3 linked regions of the Nothobranchius furzeri genome follow. The protein of the gene in region 3 interacts with the protein of the main gene of each other region in a pairwise test. Links are inferred from orthologs where the notes say so. Each region holds a gene or a part of one and is shown on either strand. Other genes may lie near its edges.

Evidence for each region.
Region 1: the proteins of rint1 (region 3) and sfr1 interact in binary tests that used the Homo sapiens proteins (3 or more experiments, as listed by UniProt). The two-hybrid records come from large-scale screens. The link is inferred for Nothobranchius furzeri from reciprocal best matches to the Homo sapiens genes RINT1 and SFR1.
Region 2: the proteins of rint1 (region 3) and scnm1 interact in binary tests that used the Homo sapiens proteins (3 or more experiments, as listed by UniProt). The two-hybrid records come from large-scale screens. The link is inferred for Nothobranchius furzeri from reciprocal best matches to the Homo sapiens genes RINT1 and SCNM1.

Annotation. Positions count from the first base shown.
Region 1 is NC_091752.1:33,773,777-33,776,527, reverse strand, and holds sfr1 (swi5-dependent recombination DNA repair protein 1 homolog), read right to left. Parts: upstream 1,508-2,751; 5' UTR 1,382-1,507; coding exon 1,283-1,381; intron 1,187-1,282; coding exon 881-1,186; intron 802-880; coding exon 613-801; 3' UTR 514-612; downstream 1-513. Other genes in the region: cfap43 (cilia- and flagella-associated protein 43), read left to right, coding at 1-1, 89-239, 317-492. UniProt on the Homo sapiens protein: Component of the SWI5-SFR1 complex, a complex required for double-strand break repair via homologous recombination. Acts as a transcriptional modulator for ESR1.
Region 2 is NC_091745.1:65,775,986-65,780,079, reverse strand, and holds the start of scnm1 (sodium channel modifier 1), read right to left. Parts: upstream 2,814-4,094; 5' UTR 2,706-2,813; coding exon 2,655-2,705; intron 2,524-2,654; coding exon 2,453-2,523; intron 2,371-2,452; coding exon 2,282-2,370; intron 1-2,281. Other genes in the region: lysmd1 (lysM and putative peptidoglycan-binding domain-containing protein 1), read left to right, coding at 3,373-3,552. UniProt on the Homo sapiens protein: As a component of the minor spliceosome, involved in the splicing of U12-type introns in pre-mRNAs. Plays a role in the regulation of primary cilia length and Hedgehog signaling.
Region 3 is NC_091741.1:64,278,004-64,282,276, forward strand, and holds the start of rint1 (RAD50-interacting protein 1), read right to left. Parts: upstream 2,810-4,273; 5' UTR 2,775-2,809; coding exon 2,565-2,774; intron 2,089-2,564; coding exon 1,963-2,088; intron 1,758-1,962; coding exon 1,642-1,757; intron 1,529-1,641; coding exon 1,355-1,528; intron 1,262-1,354; coding exon 1,124-1,261; intron 1-1,123. UniProt on the Homo sapiens protein: Involved in regulation of membrane traffic between the Golgi and the endoplasmic reticulum (ER); the function is proposed to depend on its association in the NRZ complex which is believed to play a role in SNARE assembly at the ER.

The DNA.
Region 1 (2,751 bases), on a different chromosome or scaffold from region 3:
GGTAACAGCGAAGTAATACTTTGTACTGTGCTCTGTGTGCTTTTTAATATTCATCAGTGAAATAATACACATTTATTCTCAATTTCAGACTCTTCAGCAGAGTGCTCAGCAGATGTTTAAAAAGATTGCACTACTTAAGAAAAAAGCGGAGGAAAAAGCAAAGAACAGCCTCAGCTTAGAGCAGCAGATTCCTGACTTGCAGGCGACTTTGGCAGAGCTTGTGAACGACAAGGGAACAGGTAATAAGAAAAACGATCATTTCAGATACAGAGTGCACACACTGGAGCGGCCTTCTAATGATGATGTGGCTCTTTAGTTATAGCTGCAGACGAAAATGCTGAGAGAAATGCCTGCTACCAGGAAACCGTTCAAAGGAGTAACTTGGAGAGCCTTGCCAGGGAACAGGCAGAGGAACTGCAGTTCCTCTGGGAAGAAGTTGAACATCTGAGGAGGAGGAATTTCCCGTGTTTTGATCTGCCGAAACACTACTGATTAAAAACTTTTCTTCAAAACTTAGAACATGAAATGTACTTTTATTGTGAACGGGAATTATAGAAACACCAAATAAAACTTGCAGTTGTGCTGACTTCTCTTCAGTGTGTTTGTGGTTAATTATGTAGTGAAGTCCTCTTCAGTGCGATCAAAGTGCAGAATGCTGTCCTCCAGCCTGAACAGGTCCATGAGCTCTGACAGGCTTGCCTTGCGTCCATCCACAGGGACCTCTGACTGCAGCTCACACAGAGCAGCCTGAGCACCGCTCCGCCACTTGTCGATCAAGGTTTGCAGCTGTGTTAAATCGTTCTAAAAAAACAATGACTCGTATTAATTCTCAGCCTTGGTGATCACAAATAAAGAGGATGGGGTTAGAAGTAGCTGATACCTTGCTTCTGTACATTTGGACCATCTTGAGTCGGCGCAGAGTCTCTGTTTTTTCTTTCACCTCCTTTCTGAGTTGTTGTGCAACGTCTCCAGAGGAGACAAGTGTGGGTCCGGATAGCCTTTCGCTTCCTGCGTTATCCCTGTTGTGTACCGAGACCGGAGGATCGCTGCCCGTTTCCACTGAAGCTTGATGGCCACCCTGCTCTCCGCTGTCCACGCAGAGGCGTTTGGCCACCGAGAGGGGCGATGTGAAGGAGCGCCTGGTTCTCTTCAGCCTCTCCCTCAGAGAGGAACTCGGCTTCGGATGCTATCAGAGAAACCCGACATGAATCAAGCCTGAAACGTGTTTTAGATTATGATGTTAGCTAATAGTTTACGCACCACTTTAGCTAACAATACTCACCTTTTCCTTTCTAAACTCCTCCGATGGGCTTGACTCGGCTGAACTGTACGATAAACACCGTTCAGTCTTTAATTTGTCTCCTTTGGGAGTGACATCCATCGGTAAAACAGACTTACACTCGTAAAAAATGACTTTGTAGCGCGTTCACAACACAAAATTCTGGTTTTCCGTATTTCCGCGGGTCATGGCCTCCTGCGTGTGTGATTGGTCAGAATTTGATTACGTAAAGCCGAACGGAATTCTGGGAGTTGAAGCCTTTAGGGTAAAATGCATTTAGGCTAGACTTTTATCTTTGAAACCTTTTTATGTGACAGACACAAATAAAAAAACGTTCATACGTTTCAATTTAATTGAAAGATTGAAGGCAGTGCTTAGGGGACATAGGAGGACTATTTTTTTTGCTAAATTTAGTATTTGTTTTATTTAAATATGTCATATATTTGTATACTCTTGTGAATTCGTTCTGTGTGTAACTTCAATATCCATTACTTTGTGTTTTTTAACAAGGCTTAGTTTAAATAAATTTAATTTTTATTCCCATAGGTAAAAAACTTTTTTTTACTAACTTGTGTAAAAAATAACGAAGTAATGGGTCCTATTTTGTGTTCTTTTTTATGCTAGAAATCGGCATTAAAAATGTTAACTAAAACACAAAACACACACACGTTGTGATCGCTCACTTCATAAAAAATTATCACAGGACTGCCCTTCAGCATTTAATGTGTTTTAAAACTCGAGCATACACTGAAGCCACACGATCCTCCTTATGTTTAACTATAATATTTCTTTTCAGTTTGAGTTAATTTCAGAACAAATTGAGATTTTCCATTAAACCCGATGCGAGACAGGACCGCTCCTGCGGGATTAAATGGATAACCTTTTGCACTCAAGCAAAGCACAAAGTAAAAGTGATTTCTAAGGGCCGGCGGACATGCCTGGTACATGCTGCTCTTACTAAAGTTGAGTCATAATTTGCTTCACCCCTTCCCATTAGCTGATTCATCTCTTTTACAGCTACCTATTTATAACTCTTCAAGCCCTTTAAGAGTTTTTTTTCCCCACTTGTATATGATAACTCACTTTTTTGTGTGTGTCTATGCGGCCACGGGGTGTGTGAAAATGTAAATTATGATGCTGCCTGGACTTGAACATCAGTTCTTGGCAGGGCGATATTACACACCCAAGGGAGCTGGGGATTTTTTTACATTTTATATGGATGATTCTCAGAGGGCTGAGGGCTGAAGATAATTACTGTGTGTTAGTCAGTAGACTGTTTGCAGTGTTTTTTTTTTTATCTTACCAAGTTGACATAAAATACTTTGCTCTATTCCCAGAAACAAACATGGAGTAACTGGTGGGGGTTTATTGAATCTAGAGGCGATGTGAGACTTTGAGGATGCCAGAACCTTCATCACATTCTAAATAGGCCACTTATTAGTGCAAATGTGTGCTTTATTTTTAATTTTTTT
Region 2 (4,094 bases), on a different chromosome or scaffold from region 3:
TACTATTGAAGCTGCCGTTACGCTTTTGGCCTGAGGGGGCAATCGCGAGCATAAAAATTCAAAACTCCATAAAGTCCCTTTAAAGAGCCTTTGAATCGCTCGCCTCCTTAAAAAAAAGCCCTCCTCCCCTTTTCATCTAATGATCGCAGTTAACAGGAAATTCTCCAGAATACTGCAGAAAGGTAAGTCTACTGTGAGCATGCGTGTGCACTTGTTAATGACTAATTTTTCGACAGAGAAACTCCGACAGCGCACGCAGAGGGGGTTGAGGGGAGTGCTGTCTATCACTGCCTCTGAGTCGCTCTCTTGGTCCACCAGGTGACACCTCTTTCAGAAGTGTTTTCCTAACAGGAAGTGTGAATGAAATAAGTCCCCACCCATGCCATGACTCCCACTGTAACTATAGTACAGTGGTGTAGCGATGTTAATATCGATAATCAAAACAAGCTATTAACCCCTTTTTAGTATGCATTTTGATATTTAAAATGCATCACAAGTTGCATATGATTAATTTACAGCTGTTAATTCTTTGTTGCTCAGGTTTTTAAACACTTTTTGGTATACAAGTAATTATGGATTGTTTTTGTTTTGTCTTTTCTAATACTGAAGATAATTAGGGCCACTGAAGAAAAAAAATTTAAAAAAAGAATTCTGACTTTAACTCACTAACTGCCAGCCGTTCTCCAGTGGCGTGTCCAAGCTCTTTAAAATGGGGTGGCCCAGGTGGGGCACTTGTTTATGCACGAGTGGCCCCTATGGTTATTGTATTGTAACCCTAAGCCTTTTGTGGAGAATGTAAAGTCAATTTATATGGAACTCGGTGGGGTGGCACCTGGGATTTCAAGGGTGGCATTTGCTACCCCAGGGCACTCCCTGGACACACTCCTGCCATTCTCTGATCAGAAAAGCCCTTCGCAGCCAGCGTTTTTCAGTGTTTCTACTGTTTCTTTAAGAGTCAATGAACGTTGTGCTCTAGGATGATGTCAACGCCAAAACTAACAAAACGAAGAGTAGACTCACCTCTTACATCAGGCAGAATCAGGGTTCATTTCAAGATTCTGGTTCTGGTCTATAGGGCCTTACATGGACAAGCACCATCTTACATTGGTGATCTTCTTAGTCCCTACACCCCCAGCAGGTCCCTGAGGTCCAGTGATCAAAGCCTACTGGTTGTGCAACGCACCAGTCTAAAGACCAAAGGTGACAGATCATTTGCTGCTGTGGCCCCCAGATTCTGGAACTCTCTCTCTCCTTGAGCCTGAGATCAGTGGACTCCTTTAAAAAGCAGCTGAAAACTCACTTGTTCAAGCTGGCTTTTGTATGGCCTTCTTCAACCCCTCTCTCTTTATTCTGCTCTCCCCACCTATTCCACCTTCCTCAGGATCCACTGATTTCCCTCTTTCCTATTCACTCTCTCTTTCTTAAAATTGTTTTCTTTTAAATCCCAATTGTCTATTTTTGCTCATTTGAAATAAATTTTTAAACATTTTCTAAATGCTTTTTTATATTTTTTACATTTTTTTGTTTTTGTGAAGCGCCTCGTGATTTTTATCTTGAGAGGCGCCATAGAAATGATATTTTCTTCTTCTTCTTCAGAATCTACATGTTTCGAGTGTTATCCATTCTTACATAATCTGTAGTCGAACTGTGATCGGCAGAAGCTTTTCCGGTTTGCGCCTCACTTATTTTTTTACAGCTGTGGCCCAAAACGATCTCCTAACACATGGATTTTCTGCTTCCTGATCACGTGGCGTGTGACGTACACGAATGAAGATCAGCTTATAGCTGGAATGTTTGTTCTCACGGTGCGGGGGCTCGTTCCGACGCCCACATAGTAAAAAAAATGCAAATGACGACTTTAGTCGTCAATGGCAGTTAATGAGTTAATCTCTGATTTCTGGCATTTTTCTCAGAATTCTGACTTTTTTCTTGATTGTGACTTTAATAATTCTGAGATTAAAGCCAGATTTCTGAGGGGAAAAATCTGATGTCTTTCTTTTCATATGTTTTATTTTCAGTGGCCTTAATCCTCTTCCATACTTTAACTCAGGGTGAAGTTCTTGGATTTTGAGTAAAAACCACGTGCTGTTGTTTTAATGATTTGTAATAAACAAATTGATCAGACTGTATGTTCTATTGTCTTCCCACAATATCATCAGATACTTTCAAGTGTTTCTTTGATGTCAGACAATGTAAGAAAATCATAACACCTGACTTAGAAAAGTTCTTCCAAACCTCATCCCTTACCCACAGGGAATGACACATTTAAGCTCACTTTTACCTTCTAGATGCTTCTTCCCTTGCCTGTGGACGGTCAGCACATCAACCGTATCAAACACGGGACGGTAGGAGCACACCAGACAAGTATATCTAAAAAACCACACACGTTTTCAGTTATTAATGTAACAACATGTCTGTTTCTTTTCCGAACGTGAGTCAAGCCGAAATTCACCTTCCATTTTTCAGCAGCGCAGCTTCGTCTTCAGGAATAAAATGAGACAGCAGATCGGCCACACGCCTTTTCTGAAAAATGTCAACAAAGTTGAAATAGTGAGTGCTCCCAGGACAGGAAGCTAACAGGATGCTAACATGATGCTAACTACACAAACGTATAATATTTAATGAAACAGACAACGTATAAAACAATATTTAACCTTAAGAATGTTGAGTTGACTCTTGTCATTCCCCTCTCTTTTAAAAGACATTGCTATGACATATACTCTTAAACTGAAGTTGGAACCAGATTAGCTGCTTTTTGTCAATGCTAGGCTAGCCCTGCTGATGCGTTCACAGAAGAATCGACGCATGGGAAATTCTAACCTCCAAATTTAGAACGGAGTTCAGCTTTGAACTAAAGTGTGCACAAACATTTCTGAATCATATCCATTATTTGTCGCTCATAATTATCATTAAAAAAGACTGCTCAAGTGCAGAAACAGTTTAAACGTTAGGTACTCCTAAAACGAATTCGAACAACTTTAAAGTGATTTCTGTTATTCGTATTGTATTAAACGCACCGTTTGTTAAGAATCATGTGACCAGCCCAGGCAGCCATGGCAACCAGCGTAGCTGCTACTGCTGCTGCTGACTTCACGAGATACGAGAAAATGCTAACAAGTTCACGATAACTTTTCAGGTGTGTAAAATAGGTTTATCATATAGTTTAACGGGGTTTTTACATCAGAGGCCCTGTGTGTGCTGCAGGTGCTGTATTGCTAAGCTTAAAATAGCAGGTTTAAAAAGGAAAGAAGCTTGAATAGTTGGGTCGTGTGCTAGTTCTTACATACATGTTTCTCTGGTAAAAGCTAAAGTTTACAGCTCTCTGTATTCTGCCGCACCTTGGACGGGTTTAAACACAAATGATACACCAAAATGTCCGGGGAGCGAGAGCCATCGCCTCCCGGGAGAGGGGGCCTCCTTCGCGGAAGCCGAACCAGATCTTACGGCAGTTTGATCCGACCTTCACAGTCTCCGGTTCGCCGCAGAGTCGTGGAACATGTCGTCCAACCGGGAGAGACTTTGCAGGGCCTGGCCCTTAAATACGGAGTGTCTGTAAGTACAAACTATTTACATTTTAAACAACCTATTTTAGTTAGGCTTACATTTTTGAGTCTCTCTCTCTCTCTCTATCTCTCTCTTTCTATATATATATATATATATATATATATATATATATATATATATATATATATATATATATATATATATATATATATGTGTGTGTGTGTATATATATATATGTGTGTGTGTGTATGTTTATGTTTATTCATTTCGCAGACACTTTTATCCAAAGCGACGTACAAGTTTTTTTTTAATAACCTGTAGGGCATGTTGTGATGTGTGGGGGAAACCGGAGTACCCGGAGGAAACCCACGCATGCATGGGGAGAACACGCAACTCCACGCAGAAAGGCGAGTTTTGAACCTGCGACCTTCATGCTGCGAGGCAACAGTGCTAACCACTGCGCCACCATGCATATATATATAAAGGTCCTGGGTTTGCTTCTCGGCCTGGGATCTTTCTGCATGGAGTTTGCATGTTCTCCCTGTGCATGCGTGGGTTCTCTCCGGGTACTCCGGCTTCCTCCCACAGTC
Region 3 (4,273 bases):
AAACTGTTTTTATCATTTAAGAAATATCTCCAAACTGCGAAGGTTGGTGTCAAAACATGAACTTGTAATGGTCATCCATGCCTTTATCTCCTCCCGACTAGATTACTTTAACACACTTTTCACATGTTTTAACAAGAAAAACCTTGACCGCCTTCAGTTGGGCCAGAACTCTGCAGTGAGGCTTCTAACTGGAGCAAACACAAGAGCTCACAACCCTAATGTCTCTCCACTGGTTACCCGTTAACTTTAGAGTTCATTTTAGTATACTGACTATAACTTTCAATGCTCTACATGGTCAAGCTCCTCCCTATATTACTGAACTGTTAAAGCCTTATGCTCAAACCCGAGCCCTCAGGTCCACACACCAGAACCTTCTAGAAGTTCCAGACTGTTGCACCCCGACTCTGGAATGATCTTCCTTTATCCTTACACAGCATTGACAGTCTGGACACTTTTAAAAATCAGCTGAAGACCCTTTTATTTAAAGCTGCTTTTACCTAAATCTTTTATTTTCTTATTTTTAACTCAAATTTGTAATAATTTTTCATTTGTTTTATGGTGTTTTATTATTTTAGACTTTATTTTTCAGATTTTAATCCATTTCTGTTTTAAGATCATTATGATTTTATGACTTTATGATTTGTTTTGATCCATGTGAAGCACGTTGTGATTTTCTGTCTGAGATGAGTGCTATGTACTTAATTACAACGGCTGTGTTGGCTGAATTTGTCTTGAGAATTCTTTGAACATTTAAAAATTTCTAGGCACAGAGTCAGGCCCTGAGAATCACAAGAAGGAACCAAGAACACTTGAATGTTTGGATAACCTTCTGAAAACTCACTCTGAATGGTGATGCCAGTGTCTCGCTAACAGAGCCCAGTGAGATACTAACTAAATAAAAACTCATGAGCAAATGCAAAACTACAGATTAAAGGTTGTGTAGAGTTAGAAGCCTTGCTCTCTCACCACCAAAGACAAATGTCAGATCATTATGGTGTCCTGACATAATGCTAAACATCTCACCTGATGAAACTAAACACATTTACATGGTTAAAAAAACTGAGCACATGAATGTGTGGAGACAGTCCCCAAGATCCTATTGGATCTGTGTCCAGAAGGATACGAGGTCTGCAGGGCCAGCAGCTGAGTCACCAGCTCCTCCACATGGCTGCTGACCTCCTGACCTGCAGGAGGTGTCGCAGACTGAGATGTTGTTGAGACAATTGGCCAGTGTAGTTGAGTCAATGCGTTTTCAAAATCACTAAAGAGGTTTAAAAAGAAAGAATCAGCTTTTACAGTAGATGAAAGAAGACAAAAACATCCCAGTCTTGGTTGGGATTTGATGGAGCCATACCTGGACAGCTGTTCTTTGATGATATTGTGCCAGAAACAAAGCGTTTTCCTGAGAAACTCCACAAGGTGGGAACATCCTGACTGGTTGAGGCCAGAGTCCAGAGCCGCCATGCTCTCTACAGCTTTTATAGCTTCCCAGACACCGTTGGTCATCAGAAACTGCTGGACTGAAGCACTGTAGACACATAATATTAACATTATGCAGCAGAAATGAGGAGCAGTTTTAAACCTCAGTGATGCATCACTGTAACCTCAACCAACATGTCTCCAAGCCTCTAATCACCCTACCTGAGCTCTCCTATGTAGTGAAGGCACTTTAGATACTTCATGCTTTTCTCCATAGAGTCTACATGGTTAAATGTCTGCCCTAGGTCATCCATCAACTGCCGGGTGCCCTGCAGGTGCTGGAAGATCAGAATATTTAACAGCATCAGTAAAACATCCCTGGATTACAGTGGGGATTGTCACAGAACACCTTAAACAAGCATAGATGATTCAGCTCAGATCGTGTTTCAGATCTTGTATGGGATAGATCAAATACAACTCTGATGTTCGTTCTGCTACTTCAGATTGAAATCTGCTCTTTTGTTGAGCTTCTGCAGTTTCTACCTGCTGCAGCTGACTGGAGACAGATTGTTCTCTCTGCAGCACGTCCTCCAAGGAACACCGGACCTCCTCTGCAGCTGACAGGGATGCTGAGATTTTGGGAGGAACAGAACTGCACACACTCAGAACCTGGAAAGCAAAAACAATGCAATCCCATTCAGCCAGAACCTAAAGGACAAAACATTGTTCTAATCTTTCAGATTGCAAAAAAACACATTTTTATTTAATGTGGTTGAGTTCAGGTTGCAGAATAAATTAATAACCCGTGAGTTAGTGGCTATGAACCCTGACCTGTCAGCACAGTGGTCTTTGATTAAAATTGTATATGTATGCACAAGAGTTCCAGTTCTTTTAATGTTTAAAACTCTATCAAGTGAAATATAGATGATGAACTGTGAGGTCTTATCCACTGAAGCAGTTTTTATTTAGTTCATCTCCTTCATTGTGAAAACATTTGTTTAAATCTTATTTAATGTGCTTTAGGTTCACACCTAATCCACCAGAATGCCACCAAACAGCTGACTTTAACCACAACAGCTCGCTGTTACACACTAATTCGTTAACTTTAAAAACACCGTGTAGTAAATAAAGTTCAGGTTCGGTACCTGCTCCTCCACCAACGCCGTCTCTGTTTTCATTTTCTCCAGCAGCTCACTAACGGCTTCTAAAGACATCAGTTCGCTGCCAAACTCTTGCTCCAAAAAACCCAGTCCGTAGTCCAGCTGGGTCCCAGAACCATCACCGAAACAGTCCGGATCCTGATCCATGTCACGGACAGAATGCCGAAAAGACTCTACAGCTGGTACCGTCGCCATCTTTATTTTTGACAACACCGCCACGCTGCACAGTGAGGAACAACTCACCACTGCCCCCTGCTGTCGGGAAAGGGAAGGTACCAAAACAACACCAGACCCCTATCCTCTTGTCTAAAAACACTAGATGTTTCGGGTTCTTTAACCAAACTTTATTTACAGTGAAAACATTACAGAATTAAAGTATTTGCTTATAATGCAGTAAACAACAGACAACACAACATAAACAGTAATACCAACAATGAAAAGGTACATAAATAATAAAAATTCAAATTAATGACGCTGAGGTCACCAAGGCGATTCAAAAGCTGCTCAATGGCAATGTCTCACGATGGATAAGAATGAGATTCACCCAGAGTTCCTGGATATAGGGTTGCGTTGAAGTGGCTCTGCGATAAACCACCAAACGATTCCCGAGCACAGCTTTGTCTGCAGCTCACCACTCCCCCAGGGATGGGTGTCAAATGCAGAGAACAAATTTCACACACCAGTGTGACAACTAATGGGACTTTGATATTACATGTTTATGTTTATTCATTTAAGAGACGCTTTTATCCAAAGCGACTTACAATTTATAACCTATAGGGCATGTTGGGATCTGTTGAGGAAACCGGAGTACCTGGAGGAAACCCACGCATGCATGGGGAGAAGACGCAACTCCACGCAGAAAGGCCACAGCTGAGTTTCGAACCTGCAACCTTCATGCTGCGAGGCAACAGTGCTAACAACTGTGCCACCATGCAGCATGGACATCGGGGGCAGTCTCGTGGATTGGCAGACCAGGTCGGTGGTTCTTTCTATTTAAAAAGAGGGAGCACAGGGTGTGTTCCAACTAAAGGGGGATCACACTACTGGGCCTCCCTGGTAAAGTCTATTCAGGGGTTCTGGAGAGGAGGGTCCGTCAGATAGTTGAACTTTGGTTTCAGAAGGAACAATATGGTTTTGGTCCTGGCTGTTGAACACTGGACCAGCCCAATATGTTTTGTAGACTTGGAGAAGGTGTTCAACCGTGTCCTCCAGGGAGTCCCGTGGGGGTTACCATGAGAATATGAGGTACCAGCCCCCTTGATACGGGCCGTACGGTCCCTGTATGACCGGTGCCAGAGCTTGGTCTGCATTGCTGGCAGTAACAGCGTTCTGGGTGATAGTTGGACTCCACCAAGGCTGCCCTTTGTCACCAATTCTGTTCATAACTTTTGTGGACAGGATTTCTAGACACAGCCAAGATGTTGAGGGAATCCATTTTGGTGGCCCAAGGATCAGGGTCACTGATTTTTGCACGATGTAGTCCTGTTGGCTTCATCGGGTCGTGATCTTGAGCTTTTGCTGGAGTAGTTTGCAGTCGAATGTGAAGCAGCTATGATAAGAATCAACACCTTGACCAGTACCTTGTCTTTCAATAGGTGTTAAAACATGAACACATGGCTTCATTTTATGGTCTCATTGCTCACTTTTAAAGTTTAAATCATCTGTCCTCGTCATTTTTATCCGATCTCCTCAAC